Linked DNA regions of Oryctolagus cuniculus. The protein of the gene in region 1 purifies or fractionates together with the protein of each later gene. This does not show direct contact. Links are inferred from orthologs where the notes say so. Each region holds a gene or a part of one and is shown on either strand. Other genes may lie near its edges. The genes, in order: IRF2BPL and VGLL4.

The links.
Region 2: the proteins of IRF2BPL (region 1) and VGLL4 purify together in Homo sapiens (affinity purification with mass spectrometry; 3 studies listed by BioGRID and IntAct, counting the BioPlex papers as one, with this or other methods). This does not show direct contact. The link is inferred for Oryctolagus cuniculus from reciprocal best matches to the Homo sapiens genes IRF2BPL and VGLL4.

The regions. Positions count from the first base shown.
Region 1 is NC_091451.1:22,810,206-22,825,342, forward strand, and holds IRF2BPL (probable E3 ubiquitin-protein ligase IRF2BPL), read right to left. Parts: upstream 8,753-15,137; 5' UTR 7,855-8,752; coding exon 5,488-7,854; 3' UTR 4,661-5,487; downstream 1-4,660. UniProt on the Homo sapiens protein: Probable E3 ubiquitin protein ligase involved in the proteasome-mediated ubiquitin-dependent degradation of target proteins. Through the degradation of CTNNB1, functions downstream of FOXF2 to negatively regulate the Wnt signaling pathway.
Region 2 is NC_091441.1:115,534,357-115,549,490, forward strand, and holds the start of VGLL4 (transcription cofactor vestigial-like protein 4), read left to right. Parts: upstream 1-5,753; 5' UTR 5,754-6,236; coding exon 6,237-6,318; intron 6,319-12,536; exon of another isoform or gene 12,537-15,134. UniProt on the Homo sapiens protein: May act as a specific coactivator for the mammalian TEFs.

The DNA.
Region 1 (15,137 bases):
TCAGTGAGGAAGGCTCTGGACACCGCGGGGACAGCTGGCATCCAGGGCACCCTCTTCCCCCCTTTCCTTCCAAAGAACCCCAAGCCTTCCTTAAGGACCCCAGCTCACAGGTAGTGCAGGTGCACTCACTGGGCATGGCCAAGGGCACACACCCCTCCCAGCCCAGGAACCATGGCGAACAGGAGCAGATCCTTGGCTAAGGGGGAGGCTGACTTTGCGGAGTATCACCTCATGCTCCTTGATTTCTTTTTCTTCGGCCGTGCGCACGAATGCTTCTTACAAATTAAAATAGCCTCCTCCTGCCGTGGGGAGATGGTGGTGAGCTTTGCTTGCTGTGCTTGGCAATTTGGATTCTATGCTGTAGGCAGCGGGCAGCCAAGGGTATGCAGTGCTCAGATGTGCAAGAGAACTGATGGCTACACAGCCAAGGCCTGAAGTGGGCAAGGGCCAGAGTCAGCAGGACATCAGTAGGGAGGCAGGGACACTTCTCTGAGCCTAAAGTAGGGGCTCACAGGTACAGCTCCCAGGTAGAGGTGAGCTTTCCTGGATTCAACCCCAAGACAGCACACAGGCTGTCCTACCTGGTGAAGCCATGCATGTGGAAGACGTGGATGGAGTTCCAGACTCCTGGCTTCAGCCTTGGCCATGTCCAGCGGTTGTGGTTATTTGGGGAGTGAACAAGCAAATGGACGATCTCCATCTCTCTCTCTCTCTCTCTCTCTCTCTCTCTCTCTCTCTCCCCGTAACTTTGCCTTTCAAGTAACTAAAATAAAATGAATCTTTAAAAAATTTTCACCTAACATCTATGAGTAATAGTCAGAACTCTAGAAACTTCTCTGAACTTCCCCTTCCCCAAAAGTACGGCTACAAGAGACCAAGGGTCAAATGCTAGGTCCTTGTGTTCCAAAAGTAATAAAAATAATGGGCTTCACCCCACCAGGTACTCACTCTTCTTTTGTCCCGCTCATCAGCATCCCTTCTCGAAGAAGGCTCTGGTTAACACAGTGACCTTAAATTTTTCCATTACAGTTGTTTCTTAAAAGAAATCCAGCTCAGACTCCACCACTGTGTGACCAAGGTCAAGTGACTTCGTCTCTCTGTGCCTGGGAGTCCTTACCTTCACAAGGTGGTGGACTAGACTTGGGTTCTTTTGTTTGTTTTTAAAAATTTATTTGTTTATTTGAAAGGCAGAGTTTCAGAGAGAGAGAAGGAGAGACAGAGATAGTGAGATCTTCCACTGGCTGCCCCAGGCCAAAGCTAGGAACCTGGAACTCCACCTGGGTCTCCCAGAGGAAGCTCAGGGGCCCAAGCACTTAGGTCATCTTCCACCGCTCTCCCACGCACATTAGCAGGGAGCTGGATCAGAAGTGGAGCAGCCGGGATTCAAAACTGGCACCCCGATGGAATGCTGGTGTGGCAGGTGGTGGGTTAAACCGCTGTACCACGACTCCCAGGCCCTAGACTGGGGTTCTGACTTCAAGTTCCATGGATATATGTAAGTTCCTTTAGAAATTAAGCAACACTGGTTGCATCCCAGTATCCTGAGATGTTACAGTTGTACTGTCATCCCCCATTGCATCTCTTGGATTTCAAGACAAAGGGATTTATTATCTAAGTTAGAATACATACAGGGGCATTTGGCCTAGCAGTGAAGATGTCCCCCCCCCACCCTGCCCCATCCCATATCTGAGTGCCTGCTCTTCCTTCCCCAGCTCTGCCCCAGGTTGCAGCTCCCCTGCTAACGCATATCCTCGCAGGTGTGGGAGACCCGGATGCAGCTCCCACCTCCCGGCTTCTGCCCGACCCCTCTATGGCCATTGTGGGTATTCAGTGTGGAGCACAATCTCTCTGCCTCGCAACTAAATAAAATAATTTTCAAAAGAGATACATGGAATGCATATTAATGAAGAAAAAGGCATGTGCATTCACATGTATGTGGGCGCCTATATTTTCCTGGGAAAGCTGTGTAATTTCTTATTAATCCCAGGGTGTCTCCGACCCTAACAAGTCTAGAAAACACTTCACTAGATGACTGTTCCACATTTGTGGTCATCCTTCCCCGTGGACTCTGAGTGTGCCTGGGTTTGGATCACATCACAACCTGGCGTTCTTTGTTCCTGGTTCCCACTCCCTTGATTTGACGAAGTCTAAAAGAAAACCAAAGTGACTTTCAGGACTCATTCCATCAGCCAGCGCAGCCTGGATGCACACAGAATGCACCTGGAAGCCTGCGCTTCGGCCTGGGCGTGGGAGCAGCCTTTGCTGGTGTGGCCCGTGGCTCCTCCTGTTCTCTCGAAGCTGCTGGATTGAATCCTCACGGTCCCACCCCATGGCTTGGATGCGCTGCACAAACGATGCCTGCAAGTACAATGTGGGTTTTAGAACATCTTGGCTGAGCGAGTGAGATGGAGAAGAGTAGAGCCTGGGATCACCCAGAGGCCTGGCCCTGAATCTGAGAACCCACGAGACTCCTCTGTGCCCGGCGAGGAAAATGCTCCCGGAGGCTTCCAACGTGGAAACCGTCAGCGAGGGATCAAAGCAAAACTGGATCAAGCACCCAGAACATGGGCCAGAGCAGAGCAAAGTCACGTGGTTCAAAAACACGGGGAGTGGGGGGCACCACTTTTGTTCAGTGCCCCTGGCTATGGTAAACTTTAATTAACTGCACCATTAGACTTCACTTCCAGCCTGAGTTCTGCTCTTTCCCTCCCATCCTCTCCCTCCTCTCTCCTCAAGTCAGGCTTCTTCATTGAAACCCAACTGGCCACCTCTGCTGGAAGCCTCATTGTCACAACCACCCGTCTCCTGCTAAGAATAGCACCCAGCCGCAGGGAGGGGCGGACATCGCTCTTACCGGCAGGTCCCCTTCCTTACCTGTGTGTCCCAGTGGTCATGGGCCTTGCAGTCCTAGAAGCTGCTGAGCACCGTACCAAACAAAGCAAGGTGACAGTCACAGGCCAGCACCAGTCCACATGCACATGGAGGCAGATAACAAGGCAGCCTCCCAGCTGGAGCCCTCGGACACCACTCCCAGGGTCCGCTCCCAGACAGGTAACGCACACATCTGCGTTTCTCCAAACCGTTCAAGGCCATGGCTGCACCACTGTGCCCTCCTCCAGCAGTGGTTAAACAACGCCCGCCTGTGACCCCCTCTCTGATTCTCAGGCTGTTGAGCGTTCCCCATGCTCAGAGCATGTGCGCTGGGAGCATCTTAAAGGCTCTTCCAGGCGAAACAGGCTTGGTTTTTATTAATGAGCTTAAGAGAAAAGCCAACCCAGACCTTCCAGTGAAATGTGTGATTGGTAGCCAGGCGAGGATGGATTTTGGAATTAACTCTTCCGGCAGTCTGCTATGCATTATCACCCCAAGTTAATTACCCCTGGAGGATGAAAATAGGTTTCATGACTCATAAGCACCAATACAACACTTGGCAAAAGATGAAAATGCAAGGACGCATTTGCAGGAAGCTGACACGAAGATCTATTTATAAGCGGGGAGATTCTTAAAGAGGTGAGGCAGGTACCTCCCCTGCACCAGGACTAAGACTGCACACACACACACACACACAGGGGCCTGGTTTCCACCACTTGGGGGACAGTGGCAGCAAAGCAGGAACAGAAACCGAAAGGCTGTTATTAGCAGCAAGTCCCGACACCGGCCTAACTTCCACCGGTGTTCTGGGCTAACCGGTGATTTTTTCCCCAAACGTGCCTGCGCCCATCCCCAGCCCTCTCCCTCCTGCTCCTTCTGGGATGGGAGTGGGGCGGGGGCGCCAAGTTTCCTCCCTCACTCTCCAGTCTGGGGATCACCCCGCCCAATAATGGGGTGTGGCCAGGAATGGTTTCAGATAGGGTTGCCCGGTTTTGTTTGGCTTCCTCACTCTTCCGTCTGCCTCCCAGGAAAAGTCCAAGGTTCAAAACAGGTTTGCTTGCCTGCCCCTGGTTCGTCTGGGGTCAGCCCAGGGGGCACAGCCTGAGCACGCCCTGCCTGGCCCTTCCACCTGCAGCCACCAAGTGGAGTAGGTGCACAGTTGCACTTCTGCACCTGGGGGGATGGGTTTCACTGTCACAGGTAACCCAGGCTTCAAGAACTGCCTTTGGGTTTCTCCTCTTCTCCTCCCACCAAGCCTCCTGCCTCTACACTATAAGAAGCAGGACAGAAACACACTTGTAATGCACAGGTGAACACGGCTTGGCCGGTGTGGCTGGAAGCAGCTGGGACCCTCCTGGCTGTGTGCCTGCCTTGCTTCCCAGTTGCCCACACGGCTGGGGGCCTCCAGTCCCCTGGGATTCCCCTTGTAACCCTGCAGCAACAGTGAATCCTGCCATACCTGCGAGGCAAAGCACCCTGGCTTTTCTTCCAGCTCTTTCCCCCCTCCCTGGGCATCGGCGACCACTCACGCTCCCAGGTCAAGGCACCCAAGAGCACCCCCGCTGCTGCCAATCGCAGCTGGGCCTCCAAGAGTAAACAGAAACCGCTTAGTCAGCAATTGTCTCCCGGCCAGCCGAGGTGAGTGTGCCGAGGGGGAGGGGCGGCCGCCGCACAGGCCCCTGCCCGAGCCCCCCCGCGTTTGCGCTCCGCGTTGGTCGCGGGCAGGCTGTCCCCGCCGTGGGAGCTGCGCGGGCTCAGCCCCGCAAGGACAAACTTGCTGACTCGCGGCCCAATTCATATCAATTGAATTTATTACAAGTTACTAAGCTCCAAGGCACATTACAGTGTTGTGTTAACTACAGAAATGTATAAAGGACAAACGGCAGATTCTCCATGTCTAGCATTTCGCTCTACTGGTTCAAAAGCATCCGTGCATCGATAAAGCAAAAACAAAACACGGTGAGGACCCAGCACATTCAGGTCAGCAGAAACAAACCGAAACATTTCCCCCCTCCACGAACTGGCAACAGAAAACACCCATCCCCCCCAGCACCCCCCTTACCACTGTTGCAAACTAAACAGGAAAACAAAACAAAAACAGAAATGAACCAACTAAAGTGAAGACTTCAACACTTGGGGCTGGTTAGAAAGAAGCTCTCACCATTGTATAACATATATATTTTTTCTTTTTAGGCAGCAACACTGGCCTTGGCAAAAAAAAAAAAAAAAGTCTTTTTCTTTTGTGTGTTTTTCCTTTCAGAGAGTGCATAACATTTACAAAAATACACACCAGCAGCAGTCGTTGCTAAGGGCTATTAATTCTGTACCTAGGCAAACATTCTGCCACCAAATCAACGCGAACCAACGTGATGGAAATGATTCAACCGATATTATACTGCTGAACGCAAACCAGTTTATCCTCCAAATGAAGAAGCTACATACCTTTGTTTCAAAATATAGAAACAGACGACGAAAATAACGTCTATACAGAAGACTAACTTTTTGCAGTTGTTATATTCACAATTCTACACCTGGGGGGGAGGGGCGGGGCGGGGGAGGGGCCCTCCGGATCGCGAAAGAGCCGGTCTGGGGCGCAGGGGGCCGCGACCCCGAGGCTCAAGGGTCTCTTTCCTTTTTCACTTTGACATCCCCCGCTAAGATAGTCGCGATTTCGCCCTGCATGAAGGCCCACGGTACGTTCGACCCAACCAGGGGGCACTTCTCTCCGCTGGGGCAGTACACCTCGCCGGTGGCCCCCTGGGCCTTGATGCTCTCTCTGGAACAGGGGAAGCAGAACTTGTGGCTGGGGACGGATGGGCACTGAACGAAATGCGTGTCCTCCAAGCGTTCGTGGCAAATGGTACAGCACAGGGGTCCGCTGTTGGCCATGGGGGAATCCGGAATGTTCTGGGGGTGCACTTGGTCCATGCCCGGGTGGGCGGCAGGCGGCGGGGGCGCCACCTGCAAATTCAGGTCCCCGTTACGCGACGCCAAGCGGCGTTGCCCTGGCACGGAGGCCGGCGACACTGGGCTGCTGCTGTTGCGCCGCGCCGAAGCAGTGGTAGAATGCACCGAGCTGCCGTCCTTGGGCGAGTGCGCGGTGCCCAGCGTGTCGGCCACCGACATGAGGGCGGCCATGGGGGACGGGCCGTTCTGGGGGGCCGACTCGGGCGGGGTGGTCCGGTTGGAATGGGGTCCCAGGGGCGGCGGCGGCGGGGGCGGCGGCGGGGGAGGGGGCGGACCCCCCGCCGCGTGTCCCGGCGCCGCAAAGCCCCCTGCGGTCATGGTGAGCTTCAAAGCCTCGCTCTGGTTCGCCATCCACTGCTGCCTCTGCTGCTCCTCGCCCAGCTTCAGCGCGCCCTCAGCCGAGTCTGGGGGCTCGGGGGACGCCTTCCTCTTGCGAAGGCTGGCGGCTGTGCCCCGGCCCGAGGGCGCGGCTGGCGGCAGGGCCCCCGTCCCCGGAGGCGCGCTGGGGGCCCGACTCAGACTCACGAGCGCCGTGGGCAGCATGGGGCAGCTGGCGTCCAGGTAGGGCTGGGGCAGCATGTCGGCGCCGGGCACGCCCTCTTTGAAGAAGCGCACGGCCTCGGGCAGCAGGTCCCCTAGCAGGCGCCAGTCGCCAGAGCCGTGCTTCTTCTCGTACTCCAGGTACTTGAAGCCGGAGGAGAGGCCGCGGCCGAAGTCCTTCATGCAGTCCTGGTACATCTGCTTGGCCACCCCGGACGCGCTGGAGTACACGTTGCCGGAGCCCGTGGGGTACTCGATGAAGAGCTTCAGCTCGTAGTCCATGCCGGGCTTGGAGACGGCGTCGAAGGCGAAGACGCGGCCCAGCAGCGAGTGGTCCTTCTTGAAGCGCACCTCGTACGGCGTGCAGCCGGCCAGCGTGAGCAGCGTGTCGCGCACCATCTTGGGCTTGCTGGCCCACTCCTCGGCGCGGTTGCGCAGGCTCTCGCTCAGCTCGGCCAGGGCCTCGGCGTTACGCTGCTTTTCCTTGAGCTCCCGCTCCTGGTCCGTGCTCGACACCGAGCCGGGCCTCTTGGCGCCAGCGCCCACGCCCACCTCAGCCACAGACGACGAGGTCGAGGACGACGCTGAGGACGACGCGGCCGCTACGCCCGCGGCGCCGGCCAGGCAAGCGGGGCCCCCGGGGGCGCCTGGGGGCGCGGGCGTCGGGGGTCCCCTGCTGCCGAGTCCGTGGGGCGGGGGCGGCGGCAGCACGGCGGCGCTGGTCGGGCCATTAAGCAGCGTCTGCGGCAGCAGGTTGGGGGGCACGGTGAGCTGGGGCCCCCCGCCACCCCCGGGGTTGGGGAGCCCCGTCACCAGCCCACTGTGCGTGCCACGCCGAGACGCCGCCGACGCCGCCGCCGCCGACGAGGAGTTGGGGCTCTGCCGGTTCAGCTCCGGGGGTCCCTCCTCTGGCGCCGGCTTGGGGAAGCCGTTTGGGCCGCCCAGGCCGTTGGGCAGCCGCGCGGTGTGCCCGCTGCTGCCCAGGCTCACAGGCGGCGGCGGATACTCGAAGCGGGTGCGCTGTTCCACCGCGGCGGCAGCGGCGGCGGCGGCGGCGGCGCTCAGGCCGTAGCGCTCCAGGCCGGACGGGGCGGCCAGCACCGCGGGCTTGCTGGAGGCGTCGACGTGGTTGAGCTGCTGCTGTTGCTGCTGTTGCTGCTGCTGCTGTTGCTGCTGCGCGGCCGCCGCCGCAGCTGCCGCCGCCGCCGCCGCCGCCTCCTTGGCCGACAGGGCCACCGTCTTGACCCCGACGGGCGGCGGCGGCCCCGGGGAGCGGCCGTCCTGGAAGCAGCCGTGCGCCCGCTTCAGCTGGCGCGCCGTCTCGATCACGAACTCGATGCGGTCGGCGCCCTCGTAGTTGACGCATCCGCGGCATACGGGTTCCGAGAAGTCCCAGATCATGGCCCAGGGCATGCGAGGCAGGTCGCACAGGTAGCAGGATTGTCTCCGGGACGAGGACACCTGCGCCGCCGACATGATGCCGACCCTGGGGAAGGTAGGCCCCCGCCCGGGCTGGTTCCGCGGCGCCTTCTCCGGGAGGACGGGCTGGCCGGGGAGGGAGTCCGGCTGCGGGGGAGGGGGGAGGGGGGGCGAGAAAGTTCTGCCCCGGGGGCTGGAGGCAGCGCGAGTCTCCGCCGCGGGCGCTGCGCCTCTCCGTGGGGGCTCCACCGCCGGGGCGGCGGACACGCTCAGCCTGCTGCTCGCCCCCACCTCCTACTGCGGCGGTCGTGTCGGGAGAGGGGCGAGGGCGCCTTCTTCCTGGTGCCGCGGACCGAGGGTGGAAGCTCCGGGCCCGGGGGGAGGGGGCGAGGGTGCCCCGTGCTGGCCGTCGCTGCCTCTTGGCCCCCTCCCCGGCGCGGCCGCTGCGTGGAAGCTGCGAAGGGGCTGCCTCTTCCTTTCCCCCGGGGGGCCCCCCTGCGAGCCGCGTCCTCTCTCCCCGCCGGGCTCCCCGGGGCGAGGGCTCGAGGGCTGTGCCACCCGGTGCCCAGATCCAGTCTTGCTGAAGCCGCTGCTTCCCCGGAGGGCCGGGGCAGGGGGTGGCAGCCGGGCGAGGCGCTTCTCCCCTCCGCAGCGTCTGCCGTTCCGCGGGCGGCGGCTGGCTCTGTGCGCCGGAGGGAGCCGCCACGGCCACCGTTTCCAGGACGCACACGAGCCGAGGAGAGGGGCGCACGCACGCAGGCAGGCAGGCAGGCTCCCACCGCCCCCGGGCCGCCGCGGCTGGCGGCGCTCACGTCGGCTGCAGGGCGCTCGCGCGGCGCCTCGGCCCGGGTCGCATCCCTTCCCGCTCGCGCTCGCCCGGAATGTGGGGTTGTGATTGTTACTCTACGTTCCGGAGGCGCGTCTCGGCGCTCCTGCTCGGGCTGCGGCTCGCGCTGTCCCCGGCTTGGCCGCGCGGGATGCCGCCCGGGCGGAGCGCTGACGTCACCGCCATGCTCTGCACCAGTCCCCCCCCCCCCTTTACACTTCCTCTGTCTGTGGAGCCCACTTGTTGCTCTGGAAGGGCGCATGCGCGGCAGGACGCCCAGATTCCTCCCCGCCGGCCCCTCCTCCGCGCCGCCGCCCTCCCCTCCCCCTCGCCGTGTGTGTGTACGACCTCTGGGGCTGGGCGAGCTGAGGCTGCGAGTCCGGGGCTGGGGGTGGAAATGAAACAGACGATGACCTTTCCTCTCCCTGCTCGGCTTTCCCAAGTAGAAACGCCTGCAGGAACCGCAGGCGTGGTTGGCGATCCGCGTTCCCCTCCCCACCCCAGGCCCTCATTTAAATGTCCTGTTTCAGGATTTTCGCTGAGAATTTCACATAAGGTGTTACTCATTTCATCTGCGATCGAACCCCCACCCCACCCATTCCACCTGCAGTCGCCTCGCCCCTCCCTCCCTCCCTGCGCACGGGGAGCCGCCTCGGCACCACTGATGCCGAGGCACTTGTTAAATTAGCTGTTTTCCAGTCTTCCAGAAATCGCCTTTGCGATGTGTTCTTGTGCCCTGCTCTAGGAACCCGAGCTTCAGTGGTGGCGCTAAATGAATTCAGGGCGAGCCACCCCTCCCCCGAGCCGAACTATGAAAATTCTGGCTGAATGTCTGGAGAAACTACGAGCGCCCGGAGGCCTTTAAGGAAAACAGTCCGGTCCGCGGGCTGCGCACAGCTGCGCGGGAGGGCGGGGAGGGGAGGGGCCGGAGACCAAACAGGTGAGTGCCTTTTCCGGGTTTGTGAAAGCAGGTGGGGGCAGCATTTGGTAACGCTGAGAGCTTTTTTGAAGAGTAGGGCTGCAGCCTTCAAGGGCTCTCACGTGCTGCGATTTTATTCTGTAGTGCCCCAGAAGGCTGAGTAAGGCCATGATTTTTTTTTTCTTTTACAAGATCATTGCTCATCATTATTGCTTATTGCAGAAGAGATATGTCATAGCTCTAGTTAAGGCATTTCAATGGATTTTTTTTTCTAGTTATTAGGTCTGCTGTTTTTATTTCGTGAGAATTGCAATGGCCCTCCCTGCCCCCAAGCTTGGAGGAGGTGAGGCACTGTGATGAGAGTTCAGGGTCCAGAGTGTAGCCCACCTGGTTAGAATTTCCTGTCACTCACTGCCTTTGGCACTTTGAACTAGTTACTTACAGAACTCCAGTTTTCCATCTGTAGAATGGAGTGACAGCTGTCAACCTGGGGGATTCTTTGAGCTTCCAATGTGTTTCTCATCGTAAGCTTGCGGTTCAGACACTGCACTCGGGAGTTTACTTGCTTTGCCGTTAATATGCCCTCCATTGAGAGTGTATTATCTACATTATTAAGGTTCCATTATCTATGTTATTGGACCCTTCTTATCTACAAGGGAGATTGTGTTAGTAGCCCCATCTTGCAGACCAGGTAGGTAAAGAGGTTAAATAACTTGCCTGCAGCCAATGGGGATGGCTCTAAGTGCAGTAACTCGGATTTATGACATGGCTTTCAAAAGCTAGGGCTGCAGGAGGTGCTTTGGGGTGCTCAGAATTCCCATCAGCCCCCATTCTTGGTTGCAGACAGTCTTTGATAAAAAGGTATGCAAAGGCTCCTTCCTAACGGGCCCCCAGCCTCCCCTTCTGCCAGGACTGTGACATAAATATCCCATGCAGTATGTGGAGCCCAGGAAGCTGTCAGCACATTACGGTTAGTATTGGTATTGATACTGTTACTGTTACTGATTAACGCGTGAAAGTGCTTTGTTAACTGTATAAAACCTAAGAATCATTCTTACTGCTGTTGATTATAATAAAGTTAAGTTGAAGCAACAAGAAATGCTTATATTTGTATATTTCCACCCTTGACCTCTGGAGATATCCCCCTGTCCAACACTCTGCAGCACCCCCCTCCTACTCACCGCAGGGGAGGGGGGGTTAGGGATGGGGAGACAGGGGAAAGGAAGAGCCCTAGGGAGCCGCCTCTTTCCTCTCAAAGCAGCCAGACTTCTGTTTTTGCAAAACAGTGAGCTCACGGTGCACTCCCCAGCAATAATAAACTCTCCCTGTCCTGCTGGCTCAGAGCAGTGGTTCCTCTGGTAAGAGCCATGCCTCAGCCTCCCCCACCACACCATCCTGGAGCGAGTGGCAACCTGGGGCTCCTCGGCTCAGCTGTGTGACCCATTTCTTTACCTTAATATTTATTCAGCCCTTCCTTTGATTAAACCAGAAATGCTGGGGAAACGGTGAACTAGCCACAGCCCTCTAGCCAGGCTGCTAGAGAAAGCGAGTTGGAGGCTGTGTCCGTGTTATGTTTGATATGCACACACATATGTGTCTCCCTGTCTCTGTCTTCGATGTTACTGAAGGAGACACACACACACACACACACACACACACACCAGCATCTTCAAGCAGACGTCCATGGGCGTTTAAACAGACTTTTCTTAGGCTCTCATGATCCTCTAATTTAAAAAGCACCGCTCTCTCTTTACCCTGCCCCCTCCAAGAATCCCCATCATTTCTGTTGATCAGTTGCTGCTTAGCTGCATAACCGAGGTGGAGCTGTTTGGGGATGTGTCAGAGAGATTGTGAGAGAGATGGAGCCCTCCCCCGCCAACACGCACTGATGTGGGGGTGCTCAACCTGAGAAAGCCTGGCAACAGATCTGCTCGAGGTGCCCGCACGGTGCCCCCAAGTGCCTGCTACTGCGGCTGCCTCCCTCTGCTCGCCGCCTGAGCTGGCAGCCTCACCCTGCCGTAAACTGGAGCAGGTCAGCTCTCCCTTGCCCTTTCCCAAGCGCCCTCGCTCCACGTTTGGGGTGAGAAGGTCGCTGGGCGCCTACACACTTGCAAGCTCCCTGCAGCCTCCCCGCTCTCGCCCCCCGCCGTGTTGTGGCAGAGATGGGGGCAGGGAGGCGGGGTGCTCTGGGCCTGGCATTCCCGCAGCCAGCTGGCTCAGCCTTCGAGGAGGCCCGGGCTGAACCTCGCGTCACCCCGCTGCAACGCGCGCCGCCAAGCGCTCCGGCGAGAGAAAGGCCTTTTTTGGTAACACTCAGCCCCGCGGGAAGCAAGACCCGTTCTTTGGCCTCTGAGAGCCGCCTCAGAGTGGCTGAAAACAGACGTCTGCGCTGAGCCCTCCTCTGGCCTCTCCAGGGTCCCGGATCCCCGCGCGCCAGGAATCCCGGGGCCGGCCTGCGCCCCAGGCCTGCAGAGCCGCGCAGAGGGGCTGCGGAGGAGGGTGGGGAATGGAGCAAGGTGATTTCCACTTGGACTCCTGGGCCAGGTCCCTGACGGAAGTATTTGCCTTTCCCTAAAGGATTAATCCTGTTTGGGGCTGTGTTGTGTTGTTTTGTTTTTTAAGCATTAACTTAGGCCAGGGCATAGGGTTACGCAAGTACCACTCGAGCGTGAAATCCCAGGAACAACGTGATTCGCTGAGAAGCCCGGGGGAGGGGAGCCAGCGCCGCCCGCCAGGACCTGCCCAGCCTGGGGCGCGCGGGCAGCCAGGCGCTCCGTGCAAAACTGGGTGGAAGGAAAGGGAGGGCGGGCGCAGTGGTTGGTGCTGGCACAGGGGCCGCAGCCGGCGATCGCGATCGGATCTCCGACTGCTTTCTTCCTGGAGGGGCGGGGAACAGCAAGAGGAAGAAGGGCGGGTAGGGGTGGGGAGAGTCGCGTCTGGTTCCTGCCTCCTCCCTGCTTCCTCTCCTTGCCCGCGTGCCAGGGTACCGGGGAGCCCTGCGCTGTGCTCAGCAAAAAGCTTTAGTGGTTTTTTAGGTCCAAAAATAAGAGACAGAGAGGAATAAAAAAAAAAAAAAAAAAAAAAGAGTCCCAGAGTAAGCCGCCCAGGGAGCAGGCCTAGAGAGGAAAACGCGGGGAAGAGCAGACAGGGGTGCCATTCAGCGATCCATTCGGTTTACAACAAACACCCCCAGCCCAAGAAACCTGGACAGCGAGTAAGCGGACCCCCTGGCGGGGTGGCCGGCAGCGCCACAGGTGTGCCTATCCCCGGACCCTCCTCTCCGCCCCGCTATGCAGGGAGCAGCAGCGCCAGCCGGTTCCCACCCGCCGCACCAACGGGGGGATTTCCACTCCCAGGCTCCGGAGACCCGTAGCCGCCGGCGCTTTCCTGCTGGGGCCGGCAGAAGGCGGCACCTCGGGGCGGGAGGCCCCTCCCCGCGGCCTGGCCGTCCCTCGGTCACGGCGCGTACACTTCGTGTGCAGCCGCCGCTGCCGTGCCTGATGGGGCTGGACGAGCCCGGACTTTGAAATATTTTGATTTGCCTGGGCTGGGTATAGTTCAACCGGAAACTCAGGAGAGAGGGAGGAAGAGAGGGCGTTTATTTACATGACCTCGTTCAACTTGGACTTGGCAGACCCTAAGGAGCTGTGTGTGACCTTGAGCAAATCACTTGAACTTCAGTTTCTGTAAAATGGGAATGGTGGCCCTGCCCTTTGCCTGCATTACTGGGCTTCATGGAAAAGGCGGTGTTATAATATGCTTAAGAAAATGCAGGCGGTGGTGGTGCACAGGATAATGACGCCTTCAAGGCACGTGCCCAGACGTTATCTCACCTCATGCCAGCCCTTGTGAGGTAGGTGTCTCGGCAGAAAAGCAGGCCCAGAGGCCTGGATTACTGGATACCAGGTTGTCTGGCTGCAAACCTGTTACTCCATTTCACATCTTGCCAAGTGGCTGGTTTTTGGGGAGGAGGGAGGTTGTTCAGATGCTTCTAAAAAACTGCAAGAAAGTAACCCCCCCCACACACACACACACAGGAGTTCACAGGTTACTGCCCCAGGAGATGTGAGGTTTTGGATGAATTAGCCCCCTTTGTTGTTTTGGGGTTACACATCAATGGATCACCATCCAGCTTGCAGCATTAGGTAGCCGGGTTTCCCTGGCCTCCCCTGAGACAGTCCTGGCCCTGGGCAGAGGGGCCAAGAAGGATGCCCAAGGCCTAGAACACACTCAGGTAACGGGCTGACGGAGGAAGGGAGGAAAGAGGAAATGAGTGGAGTGTCTTAAAGTGGAAGGAGCCTCTTTCCAGGCCCCAGCATCCTTTCACACGAGTTAACAAGCTTCTGCCTTCACCTAATTCAGGGCACACTGCGTGGCCGCTCACCAGATGTGTGCTGTCCTTTTCGGGGGTGGGGGAGGCTGGGCCACTCAATGACAGTGCAAGCTGCTGCTTCCAAGCACCCCCAGCCTGGCAGGCATAAAGATGGGTTGCACCTGGCCTCAGCATTCCTGGAGCTACAACGCCAGGAAACATTGTGCCCAGCCCCCAAGCCTGACAGGAGCCAAGCTTACCCCTGAACTTCCTTCTCTGGCCAGACCCAGAGCTCAGCATAAATTAGCCCCCTTTGTTTTGGGGGTGTGGCTGTGGAACTGTCCTCTTGGCTTACATTTGATTTCAAAGCTGAAGCTTAAGCTGCCTGGTGACCGACCTGGTGGGGTTCCATTGCCCATCCCCATCCCCGTTCCTTGTCCATTTGCCGTTCGTTCTGTTATCCAACTGTTCCTTTAGGGAGAGCTTTCCATCTCAGGGCTGGAGGATCTAAGGATGAACCAAGGCACAGCCCAGAATCGAGAAGCTTCCATTTCTCCTAGGTGTCCTAGTTTTCTGACGCAGTAGCCCAGAGTCATGGGAGACAGTGCTTGTTCCACACTCCCATGAGCCACGTGACTGACTTGGAGCAATCTATTCTCCAGGGACCTCCTATCCTTGCCTGCCAACTGTCAATATTCAAACCTGTTCCCCTGCTTCAGGGGCTTGCTGTGAAATTCCTTGTGGAGAGGCCCAGGGCTCCGGCCAGGCAGCGAGCCACGGGCAGGAATCACGTTTGCAGCCCTAACTCCCTCTGGGCCTGACATTAAGCCCTGCGCACCATCCTCCCCTGGGCCGCGGCGGGTTGCCTCCAGGGGTGGCCAGCCTGTTGCCTCCGTGCCCTTCTGGTAGGGACACCCATGCTGCCACAGCCTAGGAGCCTGCGCAAGACACCAGCCAGCTTGGGCTGTTTTCTCCTCATCTCTCCCAGCTAGAGAGACCAGGATTTTCCCTCCCCGAGCCCTGGTGGTGAGGCTCTTAGCCCTGGGATTTATCTGGGGCTTTTACTTTTTGTTGTTGTTGTTTTGGGCAATTTGGAAAGAAAGGAGCCAATGACCTCTTCTTTAAAAAACAAAGCGAGGCAGGAAGTGCGCTGGGCCTGAGTGGCGGAGACTAAGGGTGTAATTACAAGGTTTTGTTCAGCATTTTCATGTAATTAAACCCGAAGGGAAGGGAGCCTGGTGAGGCTTCTTGGATGGAGGGCAGAGGAGCGAGCTGGGTGGATG
Region 2 (15,134 bases), on another chromosome or scaffold:
CCCAAATGGCCGCATTTAGGCAAGGCCAAAGCTAGGAGCCAGGAGTTTCTTCCGGTCCCCCATGTGGGTGTAGCAGCCCAAGCACTGCTGCCTTTGCAGGCACATTAGCCCAGAGCGCTGGGACATGAACCAGTGCCCATATGGGATACTGGTGCTGCAGGTGGTGGCTTAACCCGCTGTGCCACAATACTGGCCCCTGGATTTTCTTTTGGATGGTGCCCTGAGGTATAGTTGGAATCCAGATGGTCCTCACAGGTAAGGATCTGTGGTCCCTAAGAGGTGTTGATGGACATTTCACATGGAGCCGTATCATCCAGGTATGCCAGCAGTGAGGAGGGGGCAGATGGAGAGTCTGCCTCTTAGATGTGGGTTTTTTTCCCCCAAGATTTATTTATTTATATACGTGAGAGAGAGAGAGGCTGAGACCCATCTGCTGGTTCACTCCCCAGAGGCCCTTAATAGCCTGGGCTGGGCAAAGCCAAAGCCAGGCAGCAGGAACTCCACCTGTCTTTCATGGGAGTGGCAGGAACCCATACTTGGGCCGTGATCTGCTGCCCAAGCTAGAATTGGAAGCGGAGACGGGATTTGATCCCAGGCACCCCAAGTGGTGGCATCACCCAGTGGGCTACGACTCTGCCCCTAGATGTTTTAATCTTGCTGATTTTAATCAACAGGTATTTACTATTGACCTACCATGTAACAGACTGACCTTGAACAGGCTAAGAAGGCATAGCCCTTGCTCTGAACACCTGGACTGGTTAGGGTGAGAGCAGGTGTGTGGTGAACGGATAGTACAGGGGAAGGGGTGAGGGGTGGGAGGATGGGACCCAGGGGGTGTCACAGGACAGGCTGGAGAAGCTCCCATGCAGGGTGGACGTGCAGACGTGTCCTGAGGAGCAAGGCCATGTGACTGGTGGGGGGAAAGCACTTGGTGAAAGTTGTGAGGAGCTGGGGTGGACGGCCTGGGCCAGCCACGGAGGGCTTCTCCCGCTGCAGAGAGCTGCTGTTGCCACATAGGGCTTCCCCATGGAAACCAAGTTCTTGTTTGCTTGTTTGTTGTTTCAGACTTTGTGGCAGATTAATACCTTGTAAAACGCAGTGAAACTCAATAGCTAGAAATATGAAAAAAATACACCCTTTATTTTTTTTAATTGTTCATACTTGAGACTTAAAATTAGTCTTTCCTAGCACTATAAAAATTTCCAATTGCTGGTTCTCAGCTTCTCTCTCTCTCTCTCGGACTGGTGACAGCCTCTTCATGGTCCACACTGTGGCAGTCTCCCGGCTCAGAGAGGAGGGTGCAGCTGGGGCCTGGGAATTGATGCCAGATTGTTTTATTTATGTGTGTACATTTGTATATATGCATATTTTTAAATTTGTAAGGCAGAGATGGAGACAGAGCTCTCCCTTCATGCCCGCCACAGCAGGGATTGGGCTAGGCCAGGCCAGAGGCAAGGGCCGGGAACTCAATCCAGGTTTCCCCTCGTGGAAGTCAGGAACCTAATTACTTGAGCCATCACCAGCTGTTTGCCAGGGTCTGTGTTGGCAGGAAGCTGGCATCAGGAGCCACAGCTAGTCATCAGACGCAGGTACTTCAGCATGGGACTTGGCTGTACCCGCCAGCGCCTCACGGAAACGCAGGCAAGGTAGCGGGCGGGTCGATGCACCGGAAAGTGCCCAGGCCCTCTGGAGACCACTGCTGGCAGTGATGCCGAGTCATTAAAGGGAAGTTAGCAATCACTGTGCTCAGATCCGCTATGTATTTTTAAACACTCCTGAAAGCAAGCGTATCAAATGCAGTATGGAGGCAAGGGGTATCACCTTACAGGGTCTCCTGGGGCCCTGTAAAAGCCACAGCCGTGGGCTGCCACCCTCACATCACTCTGGGACACAGCCTCAGGTGCAGTCAGCTCTCCCCCCATTCTATGATATGCTGATGGTGTGCCAAGTTTTCTGATGGAGAATTTAGGTGAAAGAACCCAGCACAGCTAGTACTTGTCCAAAACTACTGGATGAATTTGAATCTGACACCTAAAGCTATTAAACTTGTTTTCAGAGCAATTTGTATGTACTAGACCTTGTAAGAATTTTCTTCCAACCTCCCCTGCCAAATATCATTATTAGACATGTTAAGATTTTTGGTTTTTAAATTATTTGAGAGTCAGAGTACCAGAGAGAGAATCTTCCATCCACTAGTTTGCTTCCCAAATGGCCACAACAGCCAGGGCTGGACCAGGCTGAAGGCAGGAGCCAGGAACTCCATCCTGGTCTCCTACTCTGGTGGCAGGGGCCCATGTACTTGGGCCAACTTCTGCCTTTCCAGGTGCATTAGCAGGAAGCGGGGTTGGAAGTGGAGCAACCAAGAGTCGAAGCAGTGCTTTCATAGGGGATGCCAGCGCCGCAGGCTGTGGCTTAACCTGCTGCACCACAAGGGGCGTTCCTACCATTAGGTATTTTATTTATTTATTTATTTATTTTTTGACAGGCAGAGTGGATAGTGAGAGAGAGAGACAGAGAGAAAGGTCTTCCTTTGCCGTTGGTTCACCCTCCAATGGCCGCCGCGGCCAGCGCACCGCGCTGATCCGATGGCAGGAGCCAGGTGCTTTTCCTGGTCTCCCATGGGGTGCAGGGCCCAAGCACTTGGGCCATCCTCCACTGCACTCCCTGGCCACAGCTAGGTATTTTAATTACTATTGTTGGTATCTTTCAGTGCAGCTTCTTCAGATCTACCAGATGCAATGTGGCATCAGTGAAGATCCTTTTAAAGGGAAGCTTTTGAAATATTTGTTCTTCTGTTGCTTACTTGGGCTGCTGTAACCCAATTACTACTGCAGTAGTGACGACAGCAATATTTGGGTGTCATGGGAATTTGCAAGTAATGTTTGGTTAGAACAACTTGTCCCAAATGTGCCTGTTACCCCAAATGCAACTCTTGTTGTATTTTCTTTTTTTTTTTTTTTTTTTTTTTTTTTTTTTTTTTTTTTGACAGGCAGAGTGGACAGTGAGAGAGAGAGACAGAGAGAGAAAGGTCTTCCTTTGCCGTTGGTTCACCCTCCAATGGCCGCCGCTGCAGCCGGCGCACCGCGCTGATCCTGGCAGGAGCCAGGAGCCAGGTGCTTTTCCTGGTCTCCCATGGGGTGCAGGGCCCAAGCACCTGGGCCATCCTCCACTGCACTCCCTGGCCATAGCAGAGAGCTGGCCTGGAAGAGGGGCAACCGGGACAGAATCCGGCGCCCCGACCGGGACTAGAACCCGGTGTGCCGGCGCCGCAAGGTGGAGGATTAGCCTATTGAGCCACGGCGCCGGCCCGTGTATTTTCTTTTTTTAAGGTTTTATTTTATTTGAAAGGCAGAGTGATAGGGTGAGGAGACAGAGATATTCTATCAACTGCTTAACTTCTCATATGGGGGCCGGCGCTGTGGCATATGGGTAAAGCCTCTGCCTGCAGTGCCAGCATCCCATATGGGTGCCAGTTCGAGTCCTGACTGCTCCACTTCTGATCCAGCTCTCTGCTATGGCCTGGGAAAGCAGTAGAAGATGGCCCAAGTCCTTGGGCCCCTGCACCCGCGTGGGAAGACCCAAAGGAAGCTCCTGGCTTCGGATCAGTGCAGCTCCAGCCGTTGCAGCTAATTGGGGAGTGAGCCAGTGGATGGAATACCTCTCTTTCTCTCTGCCTCTCCTTCTCTCTCTGTGTAACTCTTTCAAATAAATAAATATATCTTAAAAAAAAAAATTCTCAAATGGCCACAACAGCTGGAGCTGGGCCGCATGGAAGCCAGGAGCCAGGAACTCCATCCTGGTTTCCTGGCAGGGACCAAGCACTTGGGCCATCCTCTGCTGTCTCCCAGGCACATTAGGGGAAGTGGATGCGCAGTGGAGCGGTTGCCACCCTGGGCACTTGAACCAGCACGCACATGTGGCATGCCCTGGCTTTAACCACTGTGCCACGAAGCCGGCCCTCTTGCTAGATTTTTAGCACACAAGCCATCCTGTGAGGTTATCCATTTAAATACGGCCCACTCCTCCATGCTTGAAGAATCCTGAAAAGAAGCCCTAGGCTACCCCACCCCCTTTTTTAAAAGATTGATTTGTTTGTTTGAAACAGGGAGCGACAAGGCTTCACCCGTTGCCTTACTTTCTGAATAGCCCCAATGGCCAGAGCAGGGCCAGGCAGACATGGCACCAGGCGCTTCTTCAGGTCTCCAACCTGGGTGGCGAGGGCCCAAGCACTGGCACCTTGTGATGCCTCTCCAGGTGGCGTTAGCAGGGAGCTGGACGGGAAGTGGAGCAGTCGGGACTGGACCAGGAGTTCTAAGGGATGCCGGCTCTGCAGCCTGCGGCCTAACCCCGCACGCACTCCGCACGCGCGCCACAGCGCCAGCTCCAGGCCTGGGCTGCTGGTGGTGCCACCGCCGGAACCATGCGCGCAGATAAAACTGTCCCTCAAGGTTCCCACGTGCGGAAAAGCCAAGGGCTGCTGTGCCTCCGGCAGAGCTCCCGGGTTCTAACGGGGAGAGGGCGCCAGCCGCCCACCCGCTGGGGGATGGCGGGTTCTACTGGGAGAGGGCGCCAGCCGCCCACCCGCTGGGTTCTAACTGGGAGAGGGCGCCAGCCGCCCACCCGCTGGGTTCTAACGGGGAGAGGGCGCCAGCCGCCCACCCGCTGGGTTCTAACGGGGAGAGGGCGCCAGCCGCCCACCCGCTGGGTTCTACTGGGAGAGGGCGCCAGCCGCCCACCCGCTGGGTTCTAACTGGGAGAGGGCGCCAGCCGCCCACCCGCTGGGGGATGGCGGGTTCTAACTGGGAGAGGGCCTCAGCTGCCCACCTGCTGGGGGATGGCGGGTTCTAACTGGGAGAGGGCGCCAGCCGCCCACCCGCTGGGGGATGGCGGGTTCTAACTGGGAGAGGGCGCCAGCCGCCCACCCGCTGGGGGATGGCGGGTTCTAATTGGGAGAGGGCCTCAGCTGCCCACCTGCTGGGGGGTGGCGGGTTCTAACTGGGAGAGGACGCCAGCCGCCCACCCGCTGGGTTCTAACTGGGAGAGGGCGCCAGCCGCCCACCCGCTGGGGGAGAGGGCGCCAGCCGCCCACCCGCTGGGGGACAGCGAGTTATAACTGGGAGAGGGCGCCAGCCGCCCACCCGCTGGGAGAAGGTTCCAGAAGCTTTGAGTCCGCCAGTTTGGGGGGTGGGCGCTGGCGGTGACGGGGAGTGGGCTCCTAGAAGCCCTGCCGCCCGCCCGCCCGCCAGAGGACGGTGGGCTCGCCCGTGAGCCCGCGTCGCACTGCCCCGTCAGCCGATTACAGACGGGCGTCCACGCCGCGGACAGCTGCAGTGCACGCAGGCCGCAGGAGACGTTCTTAAAAAAGAAACAAAGACGCCTTGTGTAGCTCTACACCAAAGCCAAGCCCTTCGGGCTTGCAAAACCCCTAAGTGAAGTTGGCCGAAAGTTTCAGTGCGCTTCCATGATGGATGTCTTTTTCCTTTCTTTCCTCTATCCTTTTTTTTTTTTTTTTTTTTTTTTTTTTTACTTTACACTCAGCTCCTGGAAAAAAAGAAAGAAACTTCCGGGGCTTAACTTTCTCCTCCCACGGTCCTGCAGGGGCCCGGCCGCTTCCTGTCAGGCCGCTCTGCCCGGGCCCCCCTCGCGGGCCCCGCGCTCGGCCCCGCGCTCGGCCCCGCGCTCGGCCCCGCGCTCGGCCCCGCGCCGGGCCTGACGCCGTGCGCTCGCGCTCGCGGCCCGCCGGGCGCCAGTGCGCACGCGCGCGCCGGCGGGAGGAGGCCGCGGCGCGGACGCGTCCCCGCGAGCGTGGCCAGGATGTCCGCGCAGTCGGCTCGCAGCGGGCTGTGAGCGAGGGCAGCGGGGCTTTGTCCTGGGCGATGCGCTGCGGGGTCGCCGTTTTCAGGCCTCTGCCCCTGCCTCCGCGCGCCGCGCGGCCCCGTAGAGAGCGCCGAGACGCTCTCCGCATGCCCGAGTGAGGGTCGGCCGCCCGCGCTGCGAGGGTGTCGTGTGAGGGCGGGGGTTTTCGGGCGCGTGTCCCCCCTCTCCGTTTTGGTTTTTGGCTTTTTTGGTTTTGTTTTGTTTTGTTTTGTTGTGCGCTTCCGAGGCCGGGCCTCCGTCCCTGTGCGGTTTAAGCAAAAAGAGCCAGGAGCTCCTCCGTCAGCAACAAGTGATTGTTTGGAAACTTTTCCCTGTCGGGGGCGAGCGCGGAGAGCTGGTTTTCTTTGCGAGCCCGATAAATGCTATTGATGAAGATGGACCTGTTGAACTACCAGTACCTGGACAAGATGAACAACAGCATCGGCATTCTGTGCTACGAAGGTGGGTGTCGGCGGCCCGGCGGCCGGGGAGTGGCCGCAGAGGCGGCGGGGTGCGGGGTGCGTGCGCGCCGGGTCGGTCCGGGTCCCGGCCTGGGGCCGCGGCGGCCGGGGAGACGCGGACGCGCTGTGGTGCCTTCTTTTTCTTAACTTTGCTTTCTCTCGGCTTGCGGCGTCCTGAAATGTTTAACTCCCGAAGCACCCCCCCCCCCGTGTGTGTGTGTGTGTGTGTGTGTGTGTGTGTGTGTGTGTGTGTGTTTTGTTTGTTTCCTTGGCATTTTCTTCGTGGGGCGCGAGGAGAAGTTGGAACGCGGCTTCGGGCAGCGGGAGGAGGGCCGCGCGCCGGCCCCGCGCCCCGCACGACGCGGGCGCCCGCGAGGGCACAGGCCGGCCCTTTGTCTGGCCTCCCGCTTCCTGTGCAGCCCCGGGAGGCGGCGGGGCGGCGGGGCGGCTCCCCGGCCTGCTCGGCTGCTCTGCTCGGCGGCCCGGAGCTGACGTGCGCCCGGGAGAAGGGGCCATGGCCCGCGGGGCCGCGGCGGGCCGGCCGAGCGCTCGGCCCGCGAACTCCCCGTTTCTGCTGGAGGAGGAGAACGCTGACCCTGGCTGGGGGGAGGGGTGTCGGGTCGCTGTGTTTTTCTGGTGGAAATGTCAGGCCTGCTTCCTGTGGGTTGAAAACTTAGCTCTCCTCCTCAGAGGGAAGATCGCACCGAAGTTGCTGTTTCATCCAAATCTGTGGGTAGGGGTCTCACACCTAAAGTTCTATGTGTTCCTTTATTTTTAAGGACCTCTCTTTTCCACTCCGCCTCGTTCCAGTTCGGGGAACTTTGGCGAATTGCTTTCTTTGAATCTGCTGGGCCCAGGGTCATCTTGTTTCTGAACTCGCTCATTAAAAGTCCGATTTTTGTCCACGGCTGGGCTGCTTTCCTGTGCAGTTAACACGCTGCCGTCAGTTTTTAAAGATCATGTACCCACTGAACAAGAAACCAAGACTTCTAAGGTGGTTTCTGTTGCATTGTCTTTGTTAACACGTAATACGATATTTTAAAAACAAAGCCTAATGATGAGCCCAAGAGAGGACTGGAAGAAGGATGGTTAGGAAATCGATACCAGATTAATTTTTTATGTCTGCCGTTGGTAGAGGCAAGCCTGCCGTCGATGGCTTATCGCAGTGTAGTCAGTGACGTTCAACGGGACGTTCGGGAGAGTAGTCCCATCTCCTTTCCCTCCTGACTCGGGAGGAACAGACTCTGATTTTTGAAAGTTGAGCCGATTTGGTGGATAATAGCCTATAGTCTGTTCGGCTTAAACATCTGCTTCTATTTTCCTTATTAAGAAAGTTAACATTATTTTAACACCAAAATAAGTACACAGGAAATGAAGAAAAGCGCAGCAGAATTCCGAGTGTGTTTATAGTGAGTTGTTTACGTCCTGGTGGTCTCCTCAGTGTAAACATTGCACACATCTGGTCTGGACTCGGAAGGAGGTTTTGAGGACGGGCATAAATAATACATAGGATTTGGGGGCAGGAGAGGTGGGAGCAGTTGCTGTTCTTCTTGAAGATCTATTACTTGAGCGGATGCGTTTTCCACAGTTCAGCTCCCTGGCGTCCAGGCAAGTGAGTTGGAAGTGGAAGCTACCGTTGGTGGGCGACGCTTGGTATCCATTAGGGCCCAGGTTCCAGCGTTGTCAGGACACATAGGGGGCATATGCACTTCTGAAAATTAAGAAGTGGAGGGTTGACTTTTCTTACTGTGTCGGCTGGTTAGTCGCACCTGACACAGGTTGGTCCTGCAGTAGAAGCCACTCGTCTGCGCCATCTTTCTTGACTCCCCTGCAGCTTGAGAACCCCGAGTGGAAGGTAGGGCTGTGGACCACCTGCTTGGTGACTGCTCCCTGCAAGCTGAACTGAAAAGACAAGGGCACAGTGTACCCTAAAGTAGTAGATTTGGGCTGGGGCCTGATGGGTGTAGGTGGGGAAAGTAGGTGAAGGGTAGGAAGAATCTCAGTGTGGCCAACTTCTGGAAACTAGCTACCTTTGCTCAGGACCAGCCATGGGCTTAACTGAGCTTGCTGATACGGCTGTTCTGAGGCTCCAGCGTAACCACTCGTCCTCGCCTCCTTCCCCCGTCATCACCACTGCGCTCCAGGGTAACCACTTGTCCTCGCCTCCTGCCCTCATGGACGGTTGCACTCGTGTGCTCTGATGGCCCAGTGCTCTCTCTGTCTCCACAGGAAAGTCACAGGCCCACTCCCAGCCCTTATTTTCCCCTCTGAACTCCGAGCCCCACTGGATGGGTGGAAGCCTCCTGCAGGCAGGGTTCTTAGTGACCGCTGCCTCCCCTGGTCGCAGCGCAGTGCCTGATGGGCTCTAAGGAAGTGGCTTAAAATGAAGGCTGACTCACACACACACATACACTCACACACACACAAAAGCACAGTTTCTCCAGCGGTGGTTGCAGTCATTACTGTATAATTTAGCATTTAATGACATGATGTCTTGTGTTCTGTAATTATCAGCCTGCTGCAGAGCTATCCAGGGCCTCCGACATCATCTCATACCTTTGCCTTGTTTTCGCCAAGGCGACTGAGGGCTGGAGAAGTGTGTTCAGAAAGTGTTGAGGAGCTAAGCTGCACTTGGGGCCGAGCGGTTGTGACGGTGCTGGTTCTCTTCTATAAATTAGCGCGTGTCTTGTCTCCTTCATTACTTATTCGCTTCTTAATGTTAGGGACGTGGTCTGCTCTGTGTGCCTGCACAACCCCCGCATGGGATTATGTGCTGGGTTACAGCACAAGTTGAATCTTCGTTTGGTTCCTCATTGCCTGGAAGCCACCCGCTGGTCCAAGTGGAGGCCGTGGTGCTGCCCAGGAAGGAGTAGGTAATGGTGCCTCCAGGTGAGCGGCCTCGTTGGAGTTTGCCTCTCTTTCTGCCTTGGCACTTGGGTTTGGTTTCCTATTTTCTGACTGTGCAGGTAAGGAGCTGGTGGCCCTGTGGGCATGCCAGTGCCCAGAGTAAGCTCCTGGGAGCAGGGCTGGCCATTAGCTTTTCTCAAGATGGCTGACAGCTACACTCAGGTTCACCCAGTTCCTCAGTGCTCAGAACTTAGGGTCTAATAAATGTGCACTCGGCTGTGGCTTACGCTGCTGCTAGTGATTCTTTAATTACAAGTTAAGGGCCATTAGTATGTAATTTGGTAGAATTCTCTCCTTTTAATTTAAAAGCATAGTTTATATTGGAAGAGAGTAAGGATAAATTGTATATTGTGATTGGTCTTAAAGCTTAAGAGTATTCTGAGTTCCACACGTTATAGAACCGTTCACTGTTTTTGAGCATAATTAGCACTTGTTCGCTCACAGGCTGCACTTAAGTGAGCTTGTGGAGTCGGCAGGGACGTGCACACACGACTCCCTGCGTGGGGACTGAGGCCTCACAGGGGTTGGCGTTTGTTTCGGTGGAGCCCTGCTTTCAATTGTTTTTTTGTCTGATGAGCTCAGGGGGCAAAGTCCTGCAGAGGTGAAAAGGCCAGAGAGGAGAGTCATGTGTCCCCAGCCCTGCAGACCACTTGGGATCCAGGAGGGCCTCCTTGGGAACAGCTGTGATTTGTTTGATGTGAATTGTCTACTGGCAGGGGAGGTGCGGGCAGTGGGAAGAGCCTTGACGGCATGGCCCAGGTGAGCGCCGGAGCACTGCTTTCTGGGAGACCCAGTTGCGTTGTGTTTCGTCTGACAGCCTTGTGCTTGGAGGTGCCGTGCCGCCCTCCGTCCTGCCAGAGCCCCTCCCTTGTTTCTCAACCCCCTTCTTGAAGGATTATTTTCTTTGGCTGTTTATCTTTTGGAGCCTGTGCTTGGCTCGGGTGGGAAGGCAGGTTTCTTTTCCTTCCTTCTCCCCTCCCTGATTGTTCTGTGTTCCCAGGGTGCATGGATTGTGGTTGTGTGGTGACTTTTGAAAACGTGCTGCACAGATGTACTGCAGTTTTTGCTGGTCACCCACCAGAAGGACCCGGGCCTTTGAGGGTGTTGCAGAAAAGTAGGTTTTGTTGTAAAGAAATCAGTTGTATGCAGATGTAGGGAGTGTTTCTGACTGTTTGATCTCTCTGTCTGACATTTATTCAGTGGTGAATTGTATTTAATGATATCTGCATTGTATATTTTAGTTCATGGTAACTTTAAAAAAAAGTTTACCTATTTATTTGAAAGGCAGAGTTACAGAGAGAGAGAGAGAGAGAGAGAGAGAGCTCTGTCAGCCTTCCATCTGCTGGCTCATTCCCCAAATGGCTGCAACTGTCAGGGTTGGACCAGGCCAAAGCCAGGAGCTTTATCCCAGGTTCACACATGGGTGACAGGGACCTAAGCACTTGGGCCATCTTCTGCTGCTTTCCCAGGCACATTGCAGGGAGCTAGATCAGAAGTGGAGCAGCTGGGCCTCGAACAGGTGCCCAATTAGGACGCTGGTGTCACAGGCAGTGATTTAACCCACTGTGACACACCAGCAGTCCTCGTAACTGTTTTTTTAGCTTTGCTTAGCAAATTAAATTTGTAGTACTAAGTAATCCATTCACCCCCAATTCCGCTTTTATTTTTCAAAGAACTCACGTTAGGGTACTGCCCCTCCCCCTAAAACACAAAACACACACACACAACACACACACATGTACCATGGTGCATACCATGGTGCTTATTTTGAAAGCAGGACCTGAAAATGAAAATGATTTTACTTTATCTGTTTGCATGGGCTTCCTCTCTCCTGAATGTTTGAATGGTATGTATTTTGCTAAATTCTACAGAGTTATTTCTGTAAGTTTGCTTTGCTGTCTTGCCTTTTCTAAATTTTTAAAGGGATTTTTTTTTTTTTACCCTGAGATTGCTTTATTTATTTGAAAGGCAAAAGGAGAGACAGGCAGATAGATCTTCCATCTGCTGGTTCACTTCCCAGATGGTTGCAACACCTGGTGCTTGGCCAGGCCAAAGCCAGGAGGTAGGAACTCCATCTGGGTCTCCCTGTTGGGTGGCAGGGACCCAAACACTTGGGTCATTTTCCACTGCTTTCCCAGGCACACCAGCAGGGAGCTGGATCAGAAGTGGATACCGGAACTGATGTTCTGATATAACCCTGGTCTCAAAAGTGGCCTCTTAATCCGCTGCCACTATGTCAGCCCTCAGTTCTACAGATTGTTTTCAGTTCAGGATGCTATAGATAGAGTATTTTAATCCTAATCATTTGAATCAGTCTTAGTTGAAAAAAAACGTTTACTTACCAGTGATAAACTGTTTTCAGTTTGTTGCTATTTATATGTATAATCTTTCCAGACTCTTAACATTTCACCCTTGTGTTTGCAAGGGAGGCTGTGAGCCTAACAGACTGGAATTGGTGAGGACTCCCCACTTGTCAGCTGGAGTCCGTTCTGTTACACGTGGGATGCCTGCAGTCTGCCGAGCAGTGTGTCAGGGTGCTGTATCTCTGGCGTGCTGTGCTAGGAAGTATACTGTACGTACTGGGAAGTAGACACAGCCATGTGTAGTTTATAGGTACACAAAGCACCTCCATTTTATGTGTTTGAGTCCTGTGCAGCTGGAGTTGCCTTGTACGCCATCTTTTGTGTCTTTTTCACATCATGTGTTCTAAAGTGATGGACACGTCCCAAGAGGTTTGCTTTTCCGCATGAAGTCAGCTTATCTGAGAGAGAGAGAGAGAGAGTGTGTGTGTGTGTGTGGGTGTATGTGTGGTTGGGTGTATGTGTGGGGGATGGGTATGGTGTGGGTGGGTGGGTAGGTGTGTGGGTATGGGGTTGTGTGTGTGTGTGGGCGGGTGGGCACGTGTGAGGGGGTGTGGGTGGAGAATTGAGGCAGATGCCCCAGCCTTCCTTCTTAGTCACTACTGCTCCACTTCTCATTAAACTGAGCTGAGGATTCTTCAGCCTGAGTTGCCTCCGTGCCCCCCCCTTCCTATTTAGTTGACCTTCTTCCCCATCTGTGGAAGGTCTCCATCACCTGTGCTGTAGTGGAAAATTGTGTGTAAGAAACTGCTGCTTTTGGGAGAGTGCAGAGTGAGCATGGGTGGGAGATACTCGGTGTGAATTGGTCTGAACAGCAGCTTTGGTTCTGCATCAAGAAGCAATTTGCTTACAAGCGGAGACTTGGTCCAAGTCAACTTTGTTGCACTGCCAAATTTCTTTGTATGTAAAGCAGGGACTTTGTATTTTTATTTTATTCATTTATTTTATTGGACAGGCAGAGTTAGACAGTGAGAGAGAGAAAGAGAAAGGTCTTCCTTCTGTTGGTTCACTCCCCAAATGGCCGCTACGGCCGGTGCTGCGCCAATCCGAAGCCAGGAGCCAGGCGCTTCTTCCTGGTCTCCCATGGGGTGCAGGGCCCAAGCACTTGGGCCATCCTCCACTCCCTTCCCGGGCCACAGCAGAGAGCTGGACTGGAAGAGGAGCAACCGGGACAGAATCCGGCACCCCAACCGGGACTAGAACCCGGGGTGCTGGCGCCGCAGGCAGAGGAGTAGCCTAGTGAGCCGTGGCACTGGCCCTAGCAGGGACTTTTGAATACACGGAACAAGCTTTAGTTGCTTCAGCATTCAGACAGTGCTCTACGCTGTATACAGAGACAGCAACAGGGATCTGCAACAGCACTGTCTTCTACACAGTCTAAAATCATGAATGAAAAGGAATTAGCCACATGGATTGCCCTTGATTTTTATTTTATGTCTGCTTTGCATGAAAATAGTTTCCTGTTAATTCTTCTTGGCTGGCGACTTGATTTTCATGGAGTGGGTTCCAGAATGCAGTGGTCCCATGCACATGTGCTCTGCCAGGCAGTTTAGCAAAGCTGTTTACACTACCCATAATCCAGCTGGGCTGAGTGTCCTCCTTCCCTGGTAATAGTTAAGGGAGTGATGAGTGCAGATTTCTGGACATTTCCCCCTTTTTGAAAATAAACACATCTTCTATTATGTGGCAGCACCGTTAAAGTGACAAGGGCTGAATGTAAAGTTTTATTTTAATGTCAGCAGCTTTTCCTTTACCCGTTTTCTTTTGTTCTTCTTCTTGTTTCTCATAACTAACTGATAAACTACTGGCTGACCCCACAAAGAACCTTTGTTTTACTTTCCTGCTGAGAAACTGAGTCCTCCTTGCTGGTGCTTAGAACCACTGCTGAACGCGATCTGGTGCTGTTGCCCAGAGCATACAGCATAGCAGCTGCCCCAGGCCCTCCTGAATGGAGGTTAGAAAGGGTGGAGGACACTAGGTGTCCTCAGCATATAACCGGTTACAGCTTTTCCTGCACTGACCTGCTACATTCAGTATCCAGAGCAGTTCCCACCAGTGTTGGAGACCAGAGCAGGAGCTGTTTTTCTACCAGAGGCGTCATCCCAATAAAAGGTGGTTTATAAGGGTAGGAGAAGAGATGCAGTGAAGGAAAGTACTAGAGTAACAGTGGGCATCAAGCATTGCCGTATCATTTGTCTCTGATACGTTTATACATATTTGTATGTATGTTGTGTTCACGCATGTTTGTATGTATAATGTGCATGCATCTGTATCTTGTCCAGTAGAGTGCTGGCCTTCTTGTCCAGCTGGAAGAATCCTTATACATCCTCTGAGGAAAAAAATTGAGGATGTACCATCCCTTTGTTGGCTTTTCCTATCTGTGTGCTCTGCTTAGTCCAGCTCCATCCTTGTTTTCTTTCCCCAGGCTCTGTGCAAGGTGCAATCTTCATGGCTGCTCACAAGTCCCAACCTTCTGGCCTTCACGACTTAGGCATGATCTGTTCTTTTTCTTTAAAAAGATTTTTATTTATTTATTTATTTGAGACATAGAGTTATAGACAGAGAGAGAGGTCTTCCATCCGCTGGCTCATTCCCCAGATGACTGCAACTGCTGGAGCTGGGGTGATCCGAAGCCAGGAGCCAGGAATTTCATCTGGGACTCCCATGTGGTGCAGGAGCCCAAGCACTTGGACCATCTTCCACTACTTTCCCAGGTGCATTATTAGCAGGGAGCTGGATTGGAAGTAGAGCAGCTGGTGCTGGAACCAGTGCCCACATGGGATGCCGACGCAGCAAGCAAAGGCTTAACTTACTGTGCCACGGCACTTGCCCTGATCTGTGTCCCCACCCACCCAGTGTCCCTTCTTCGTTCCCTGATGTTTTCTCTTCCTCATGGGCTCATACCCCTATCTCCTAAGTTTAAAACCAAATCATGGCTTTTCTTCAATCTTGTGTCCCTTTTGGCTGTTAGTTTTTCCTTGCTACTTGAGTTGTTGGAAGAAAGTGGTCGGCGCTTCTCTGCTTATTTCCTTGTCTGGTTCACCTCAGTCTGCTGTCATCTGATTTCTGTTCCCGCATCTCCATTCAGTGTTCAGGGCATGGTTACTGACATCCTAGTGATGAGTTCAGTGGGCATGTTTAGTTCTTACTTGATGTCTTTGTGCTATTGGGTGATCTTCACAAATTCTTGGAATTCTTAGTTGCTTTGGCGCCTGTTCTGTCAGGCGGTGCCCTGTTCTGGTGAGCAGCATCAGTCAGTAGGGCTTTTGTGGAGCTTCTAGGGGTGGCTGACAGGATGTGAATGGGTGAGACAAGCTGATACACACAGCAGCAAACTGCTGCTGTCTTTGGGAATAGATTGGAAGATAATAAGAATGATACAGAAATAAGAAGATGTGGACCTGTGCCGCTGGATTCGGCAAGAGATGGGAGTGACTCAGATTATGGTGTGATCATGGAGAAGAGAAGTGGGTATAGACAGGATTGAGAGAGGCCTGATAGGGCTTAGTGATGGATTGAAGTGGATTGAGGGAGGCGATGTAGAAGATGT